2 linked regions of the Caenorhabditis elegans genome follow. The protein of the gene in region 1 purifies or fractionates together with the protein of each later gene. This does not show direct contact. Each region holds a gene or a part of one and is shown on either strand. Other genes may lie near its edges.

What was found. Proteins that work in one complex are often made in the same cells at the same time.
Region 2: the proteins of usp-39 (region 1) and eef-1G fractionate together in Caenorhabditis elegans (co-fractionation; one large-scale study listed by BioGRID). This does not show direct contact.

What each region holds. Positions count from the first base shown.
Region 1 is NC_003280.10:2,563,593-2,568,350, reverse strand, and holds the start of usp-39 (Ubiquitin carboxyl-terminal hydrolase 39), read right to left. Parts: upstream 3,077-4,758; 5' UTR 3,076-3,076; coding exon 2,988-3,075; intron 2,936-2,987; coding exon 2,857-2,935; intron 2,809-2,856; coding exon 2,742-2,808; intron 1,362-2,741; coding exon 1,269-1,361; intron 1,224-1,268; coding exon 1,120-1,223; intron 1,070-1,119; coding exon 976-1,069; intron 1-975. Other genes in the region: nep-18 (Neprilysin), read left to right, coding at 4,674-4,758.
Region 2 is NC_003283.11:10,963,837-10,968,462, forward strand, and holds eef-1G (putative elongation factor 1-gamma), read left to right. Parts: upstream 1-1,882; 5' UTR 1,883-1,988; coding exon 1,989-1,997; intron 1,998-2,138; coding exon 2,139-2,261; coding exon of another isoform or gene 2,262-2,283; intron 2,284-2,328; coding exon 2,329-2,649; intron 2,650-2,693; coding exon 2,694-2,826; intron 2,827-2,861; exon of another isoform or gene 2,862-3,079; intron 3,080-3,152; coding exon 3,153-3,628; intron 3,629-3,653; exon of another isoform or gene 3,654-3,780; intron 3,781-3,819; coding exon 3,820-3,954; 3' UTR 3,955-4,086; downstream 4,087-4,626. Other genes in the region: ctf-4 (WDHD1/CFT4 second beta-propeller domain-containing protein), read right to left, coding at 31-344, 389-572, 618-729, 778-1,011, 1,062-1,573, 1,620-1,703; dbd-16 (DB domain-containing protein), read right to left, coding at 4,135-4,308, 4,349-4,588. UniProt on the Caenorhabditis elegans protein: Probably plays a role in anchoring the complex to other cellular components.

The DNA.
Region 1 (4,758 bases):
AAAACCATTTTTTAAGATTAAAATTCCTAAAAAACAGGAATTTTTCGCTAAAAATACTTTTTTTTCGCTTTTTATATAAAAAATAGCTTTTAAACGGGGAAAAACACGTTTTTTTTCAATTTTCCAGCTAAATTTCCAATTTTTCGATAGAAATTCAATTTTTAACGCAAAAAGCACATTTTTAATCGAAAAATTGACAATTTTTCGTTAAAAATCACATTTTATGCAAAAATTCCGCAGAAAGACTGATTTTTTCGTGGAAAAAGCTTTTTTTCCCAATTTTCCAGCGGAAAAATCCAATTTTTCATTTAAAAAAATCGCCAGAAACAATTTTTGGAGTTTTTGGAAGAAAATTCTGTGATTTTCGAATTTTTTGAGTAGAAAATTGATGAAAAATTGGAATTTTTGAGAAAAAATCACGTCAAAAATCATATTTTTGCAGAAAAATGAGGATTTTCGGAATTTTGGGACTTTTTAAATCGATTTTCCGATTAAAATTGCATTTTTTACGGAAAAATCAGTCCAAAGCATATTATTTTTAATAAAAAAAATCAATTTTTTTCAGCAAAATTCTCCAAACTCGGTTTTTTTCGCTAAAAATCTAATTTTCGACCGAAAAATTGATCCAAAACCACGATTTTCGGGAAAATTCCAAAAAATTAGAATTTTTCCTAAAAAAAACCATTTTTTTTAAGATTAAAATTTTTAAAAACAGGAATTTTTCGCTAAAAATCCTTTTTTTTTCGCTTTTTGTATAAAAAATAGCTTTTAAACGGGAAAAAACACGTTTTTTCCAATTTTCCAGCTAAAAATTCCATTTTTTCCATAGAAATTCGATTTTTAACGCAAAACGCGCAGTTTTAATCGAAAAATTGACAAATTTTCGTTAAAAATTGCATTTAGCGTAGAAAAAGCCTTTTTTGACCAATTTTTCGCCCAGAAATCCAATTTTCGACACAAAAAATCGCCAAAAACCTGAAAATATTTGCCGCAAACCATGCAGGCGTACACATTTTGATGGGAAAGTGAAACGGAGCACTGTTTCTCGAAATCAAAGTCCAAAACTGATCTGAAAACCGGGATTTTTACAGAAAATTTCCCAAATTTCCTGCAAAAAACCTATCAATAGTGTCCAAATACGGGCACATTCGACTTTTTTTCTCCGCTTGCGCCTTTTTCATTGACCAAACCGGATCGTCGTCGTGCTCATCGTGCTTTCCGCTCTGAAAATTTGAGGATTTTCAGTGGAAATTCGGAATTTTTTCAACTTTAAGCTCCTCTTCAATAATTCGCTGCCTCTCGAGCTCTCTGGCGGTGAGCTGGCGCGGCTTTTCCGGAGCCGGTGGAGTTGTATCGCGGATCTGAAGATTTTTATTGATTTTATTGAAAAAAAAATGCAATTTTAATCGGAAAATCGATTTAAAAAGTCCCAAAATTCCGAAAAATCCTCATTTTTTTCCCGAAAAAATCGGTCTTTCTGCGGAATTTTTGCATAAAATGTGATTTTTATCGAAAAATTGTCAATTTTGCGTTAAAAAATGGAATTTCTACGGAAAAATTGGAAATTTTTAGCTGGAAAATTGGGAAAAAACGGGTTTTTTCCGTTTAAAAGCTATTTTTTATACAAAAAGCGAAAAAAAAAAGGATTTTTAGCGAAAAATTCCTATTATTTTAAGGAATTTTAGTCTTAAAAAATGGTTTTTTTGAAGGAAAAATTCGAATTTTTTGGAATTTTCCCGAAAATTGTGGTTTTGGATCAATTTTTCGGTCGAAAATTAGATTTTTAGCGAAAAAAACCGAGTTTGGAGAACTTTGCTGAAAAAAATTGATTTTTTTTATTAAAAATAATATGCTTTGGACTGATTTTTCCGTAAAAAATGCAATTTTAATCGGAAAATCGATTTAAAAAGTCCCAAAATTCCGAAAAATCCTCATTTTTTCCCGAAATTTTCAATTTTCTACCCAAAAATTCGAAAATCACAGAATTTCCTTCCAAAAACTCTAAAAATTGTTTCTGGCAATTTATTTGTGTCGAAAATTGGATTTTTCAGCCGAAAAATTGGTCAAAAAAAAGCTTTTTCTACGAAAAAATCGGTCTTTCTGCGGAATTTTTGCATAAAATGTGATTTTTATCGAAAAATTGTCAATTTTGCGTTAAAAATGGAATTTCTACGGAAAAATTGAAATTTTCCGTTTGAAAGCTACACTCAAAATAATAAAACTGCGTGGCGTGTACTGCAGAAAACCTAATATTTAGGCCCCGCCTTTTAATCGTCCACTCACGGGGAAAAGACAAAAATAGGGGAGGGGGGACAGCTCGCCACGCCAACAGTGAAAAAAATAGTGTGGTGCGCGGACCTCGAATGATGTCGGCGGCTGATATTGCCTGGGGTACCGCTTTTTGCGTTTTCCCCGTGAGTGGACGATTAAAAGGCGGGGCCTAAATATTAGGTTTTCTGCAGTACACGCCACGCAGTTTTATTATTTTGAGTGTATTTTATACGAGAAACCTTTTTTTTTTTTTGGACAATTCTTCCGAAAAATGCTATTTTTAGCGAAAAATTCCTGTTTTTTAATGGTTTTTTAAATGGAAAAATTCGAATTTTTTGGAATTTTCCCGAAAATCGTGGTTTTGGATCAATTTTTCGGTGAAAATTAGATTTTTAGCGAAAAAAAACCGAGTTTGGAGAATTTTACTGAAAAAATCGATTTTTTCGAGATTTTTCCAATTTTCAATGTACCTCGCCATCCTCTTCCTCTTGCTCTTGCTTTTCCTCTTTTTTATCCCGTCTCGAGCGCTTTGGGGACCTAAAAATCGATAAATTACCACATTTTTCGAATAAATTCCAATTTTACCTTGATCTAGATCTCGATCGGCTCCTATTCCTCTTCCTATCCCTATCGTGAGTCCTTTTCTCGGTTTTTCTATCGTCTCCTGCAAAAAAAACCCCGCTTTTTTCCAGAAAAATCGATTAAAATCCACCAACTCGAACGTTTCTTGTCTTTTTCCGAATCTTCCTGCGTTGACCGCCGGCGTTCCACCTTTTCGGGAGATTTTGGCTCTTCGTTTGTCATTCTGAAAGTTTGAAACCTTAAAAATTGAATTTTTGAGCAAAAAACAGAATATTTCATCGAAAAAATCACTGAAATCCGAAGAAAAACGCTAAAAACCGAAGAAAATAAAAAAAAAACCATTAAAAAAAATAAATTCGAATATTGCAAAAGTACGCAAACACCGTCACGCCATCTTGCGGACTTTTGTCGTGTACTCCTCTCGGACAAGTGGAATTAATATAATTTTATTAATATATTTTTCAGAAGAGAAAAAACAAGGAAAAATGCGATTTTAATGGGATTTAAATTCAAATATTCAGAAAAAAAAGTGAAAATCGTATAAAAATCAATTCTGGCAACCTGAAAGAGATGAAAATGTGTGCACAAACCTGTAAATCTCCAAAAAATAAAAGAAACTCGAAAAATAAATAAATAGGTCATAGAAAACACTCTGAAATCCATTATTTTGCAGATCTGGAAAAAAATTCCTGATTTCCGGTCCAATTTCCAGTGTTTGAACCAGGGGTGGGCGGCAATTTCCGCTCGGCAAATTGATTTGTCGACAAATCGGCAAATCGGCAAATTGCCGGTTTGCCGATTTGCCGGAAATTTTCAATTTCTGCAATTATCATGACGGTGTTTCAAGACGCTGGAAATTTCCCAATTCCGAGTTCAAATTCGAATTCCCCGCGAAATTTCAGGCGGAAAATCGAAAACTAGAGCTTTCTAGCTCAATTTAAAAATTTCCCGGGTTACGGTAGCATCAAAAGTACGCAAACACCGACTACAGTACCCCCAGAAACACCGAATTTCACGCGATTTTCGAATTTTGAGCTGAAAATTTGGGTTTAGGCTAAAGAAATGGCGAGGAATTCGAATTCGGCAATGAAAAATCGAGAATTTTTCGTTCAGGCTTTGGAAAATCTAGGCCGACTCAAGGCGCAACGCGACCGCAAAAATTTCAATTTCAACCGATACTAGTCGATATGAATGTCAAAATTTGCGAAATTTTCCGGAGAGTTCGAATTTTAAACCTAAATTTGCTGAAATCGGCTGAAAATTTGAGTTTCACTCGAAATTTTAAACAAATTTTCAATCTCTGAACCTTTTCCTCTGAAAAATTGAGAAATAACATTCAAAAACAATTGAACTTAATGTCCTTTTGGCCGTCATAAAAGTTCCATTATAAAATAGCACAAAACCTGACGAAAGGACGGCGGGAAAGACAGAAAACGAATAAAAATTCCCATAAAAATTTTGGTTTTAGACCCCCCTTTTCCCCGTGTTGTTCGATTTTTTCACTTTTTGGAAAAAATTTATTTTTCAAACAAATTGGCAGAAATTTGGTTCATTTCTACTATTTTTTATCGATTTTCTATTATTATGAAGTGAGTTTTCTGAGAAAAATTTGAATTTCGCGCCAATCTGCCAATCAAAAAAAAAATAGGTCAAATTACAGTAATCCCTACCAAATCCAGCTTCTCACCACCGACCAAAGCCGTGAGGAGACCCAAAGAAACCAAGAAGCGGCGCTGGAAAATGCAAAGGAGAAAATCCAAAAGGTTACGGTATCCGAAAAGCGGTTCCACCTGACAGTTATCGTCTTATCACTGGTAATCATGGCCCTGATGATAGCCCTTTGGGCCAGTTTATGGCCCAGTGGGAGCTCAAATGCTCCGAATGGGAGCCCAGAGACTTGCTGGT
Region 2 (4,626 bases), on another chromosome or scaffold:
CTTGTTGTGAAGCAAGCTTATACAACTTACATCTATCGTTGAAACTTTATTTGCCTCGTTAACGTAGCTGCGAATAATTCCGAATCGATTATACTTCAGAAACCTTTGTGTTGCGTCGAGATCCATTGGAGAGCTGTTAGATACAAATCGTTCAGGAATAAGAACTTTTCGGGGAGCAGGTGGATCAGAATAGACTTGCGGGAGAGGATCATTCAAATTTCTGTCCGAGCTCATCGGTCGCATTTCCTCAGGTTCACCGAGTTTAAAACCGAATTCTTCAAGCCCTCCAAGATCTTGGTTCCCATAATTGAATTGTCGTTTGATAGCTCCAAGATCGGAAGACACTAAAATTAAAACATCAAGAGAAATTATATTTACAATCCCTCACTTCGGGTATCTTCATCTTCTTCAATGGCTTCTTCATTGAATAAACTATCTTTTTTGAGTGAAGTTCTATTCAAAAGGATTGAGTCGTCATCATCACTATCAACTGCAACATCTTCAGTTTTGTTTGAAACAGGCTTCTCGTTAGATGAATCATCTTTGAAGACATTAAACAAACAGATTCCTCTCTAAAATATTGTTACTTGAAAGTGCTCGAAAAGGGAAAAACTCACATTTGAATCAGCGACAATCAATTTTTTTGGGGAGAATGGAGAAAAAACAATAGAAGTGATGATAGTGATACCAGGTGCATTTCTCACGAATTTTTCACAACACACAATATCTCTGGAAAAAATGTATTATTTATCAGTTCACACATTTACCTAAATTTACAATTCATCACTATTCCAAACAGCAATTTGATTATCCATGGTTGAGGAGGCAAGATACTTCCCACACGGCGAAAGCGCAGTAACCGAAAAATCCACAGAAGCATGATCTTTCAAACGGTATACACCAGATTCTTCCCACCCATTTCGACGGTACGATTTCACACATCCTTTTGAAGGAACAAACAGCCATTGACCATCCTTTGACCATGAGAGTTGAATACGAGGTCGTGAAACACTGAAAAACAGGACATTGTTTAAAACCGAAGTATAACATGAAACACTAACTCAATTGTTTCAAATCTTGGGAAAACCTTGGTCAGTGTGTGTTTAATCGAGAATGAATCAATGTCTATAATAGTCACATTGCCATCCACAGTAGAAACGGCCACAAATTCATTTTTTGGATCCAGTTTGACACAAAGAACTTCAGCTTCAAGACTTCTCGTTTTCAGCTCTGCATCTAAATCTTTCATATTCGTGCATTTAACCGCATAATCGCTAGATCCTCCAATAACATTTTCCCTGTTTGCGTCGACCGTTGTGACATCCATTTGGAATTCAAGAGGATCAATAATATCTCCTGCTTCGAAATTGCCCTTTTTCGCCCGTCCCACCATTTGCTGCTCGGATCCAACAATGAAATCCACCTTGCGGTAACCAAAACAGATGTTTTCTCCATACCAAGCAATAGATGATGTTGTCGCATCGGGAATCTCGATTATTTCAGGTTTTTCATCTTGCAGCAACACGTTCTTATTGATCTTGAGTACATTTCGTTCAGCATCACAAACGTAAATCTGAAAAAAACAGGTAAATATGTTTATAAATCGTTTTAAATCCTACATTTTCAGTATCTTCTCCTGAAGCATCAATGCAGATAGTTTGAAGGCCGATATTCTCCAAATTTTTAACGTTAGTAAAGCTCATCTGAAAACAATGGAATTACGAGTGAAATTATTTATTTTCATCAAAAATAAATAAAATGCGAGCAAATTTTAAACCTGATTCTTGGCGCCGAAATGCGGTAAAAAAGTGTAATGCAACCATGGACCAGTGAACTGCGTAGAACCCCTATGTTTTGCGTACTGGCATTCTGCCAGGGGCACATACGCAGACTTTTCAGTGTATTTTTCCTCTGAAGAACACCACTCTTTTCAAGCGCCTCTTCTTTGAGCGTCGCTTCACTAGATTCTCCGACTCGTTGGTGACATCATGACCGGAGTAAGTTTATAAAATTAATTTCATTAAATTTGCAGTGCTGTTAAGAATAGTTAACGTGATTTCCGTTCGTTGCATTGAAAAATGATTAGGCCAAACCTTGAAATGACGAAATTTAACCAATTATTGATTTTTATTTTGCAGAAACTGTATGGAAACAAGGACAACTTCAGAACCCAAAAGGTTTTGATTGCTGCCAAGCTCGCCAACAAGACTGTCACCCTCGCCGGAGATGCTGCTCCAGCTGACAAGTTCCCACTTGGAGTTGTACGTTTTAATTTATTTAGATGTCAGTATTTGACGATCTGTGAACTATCAATGTGCAGAATTTCAGACCCCAGCATTTGAAGGAGATGCTCTTCTCTTCGGAGCTGAGTCGATCGGACTTCACCTGACTGGAACCTCAGCTAACGCCGAGACTGTCCAATGGCTTCAATTCGCAGAAGGTTATCTTCTTCCAGCTGTTCTCGGATACGTTCTTCCATCTGTGTCTGCAGCCAACTTTGACAAGAAGACTGTTGAACAATACAAGAATGAACTCAACGGACAACTCCAAGTACTCGATCGTGTTCTTGTTAAAAAGACCTACTTGGTTGGAGAACGTCTTTCTCTTGCCGACGTTTCCGTTGCTCTTGATCTTCTCCCAGCTTTCCAAGTACACTATGACCCAGATTATATGTATACACTCCTAATTTTCAGTATGTTCTTGATGCCAACGCTAGAAAGTCCATCGTCAACGTCACCCGTTGGTTCAGAACCGTTGTTAACCAGCCAGCTGTTAAGGAGGTTCTTGGAGAAGTTTCCCTTGCCTCATCGGTTGCTCAATTCAACCGTAAGTTTCTTTTTTGTTAGTGTGAATTTGTTTTGTTCCACTGCGAAGTCAGCAGACTAGTCAATCGATTAGTAGGCGTTACAGTGGTGGAATATCAAGATTTATGTACACCGTCTTTGCTTGAAACAGTTTTTGTTTTTGCTTTGTTCGGAACGTTTTTCATGGGACTGAGAGTTGGAAATTTAGCACTGGTCGTTTACAGGGTTGTCCTGCAGTCAATTCTAAGTTACCTTAGTTTATGTCCCACACATTTAAAAAGAAATCTAATTTTATAAAAAAACTTCTGATTTTGTATTCCCAGTTTAAATTTTATTCTTATTTTACAGAAGCCAAGTTCACTGAGCTCAGCGCTAAAGTCGCCAAGTCTGCTCCAAAGGCCGAGAAGCCAAAGAAAGAGGCCAAGCCAGCTGCTGCGGCTGCCCAGCCAGAGGACGATGAACCAAAGGAGGAGAAGAGCAAGGATCCATTCCAAGATATGCCAAAGGGAACATTCGTTCTTGACAATTTCAAGAGATCTTATTCCAACGAAGACACCGCTACCAAGGCTATCCCACACTTCTGGGAGAACTTCGATGCTGACAACTGGTCCATCTGGAAGTGCGAGTACAAATACCCAGAAGATCTCACTCTCGCCTTCATGAGCTGTAACCTTATCAATGGAATGTACCAAAGACTGGAGAAGTTGAAGAAGAATGCTTTCGCCTCCATGATTCTTTTCGGAACCGACAACAATTCGACCATCTCAGGAATCTGGGTGTGGAAGGGTGACAAGCTCGCCTTCGAACTCAGCCCAGACTGGCAGGTAGGACCATTTCCTCGATTTTGAATGTCGAAGAGTAGTCATTTGTATACGTGATACACTTATACAGAGTTACACTTTTCGTATATAAGTGCTTCTTCTCGTTGGAGTTGTTTATTTAATGAGCAATTACCTCTAAACTGAAAGCAACAATTTTATGAATTCTCGATAGTTTTCACAATAATATATTTCAGGTTGATTACGAATCGTACACCTGGACAAAGCTTGACGCCAAGTCCGATGCCACCAAGAAGGAAGTCAACGAGTATCTTATGTGGGAGGGAGACTTCGGAGGAAAGAAGTTCAACCAAGGAAAGATTTTCAAGTAAACTGGAGTTTCCATACAACCCGGTGTATTTGCCATTTAATCCTGTTGTTTACTCTGAGTCGGAAAGAATAAATTGTTTTCTATTGTTTATAAAGGACCCGGTATCACTTCAATAAATTATATCTTCTTCAAGTTGAGATTGAATTTATTCGTCTATAAGTGTTCCTAAATAATTTTAGATTTAAAAATTAGCTCCTAAGCTTGTTTCTTCGTTTTCGGTCGTCGTATAGTCCTCGATGTGTCCTTCGAAATATTCTTGATTTGCGTGTTCCAAAAAGCAAGATTTGATGTCGTTGAAATATTGTACACATTGCAAATGGTTGATTGAGAGGCTATTGACATCACTATCTTGACTCTGTAAAAATCATTGCGTGTCAGTAAAATGTCTCTCAAACCTGATCGCAGAAAGAGTGACAGTGTATTGGAACTAATGATTTGGAGCAGCATTCCGTGTGGTTTGTTCCTCGTGCCGCACAAAAATGAATCTTTTGAATTGCAGTCACTGGGCACACTGATTGTTGAAGAAACACTGCACTGACTTCTTCTGATGAGTACGTAGAATATGAGCATAAATCTGTGCAAGATGATTCAACTTCGAGAAGTGAGCAGCAGGTGGCAAAGTGCTCATCCGGTGTCTGTTATTTAGATATTATTGAAATTAAAATTTCCAGGA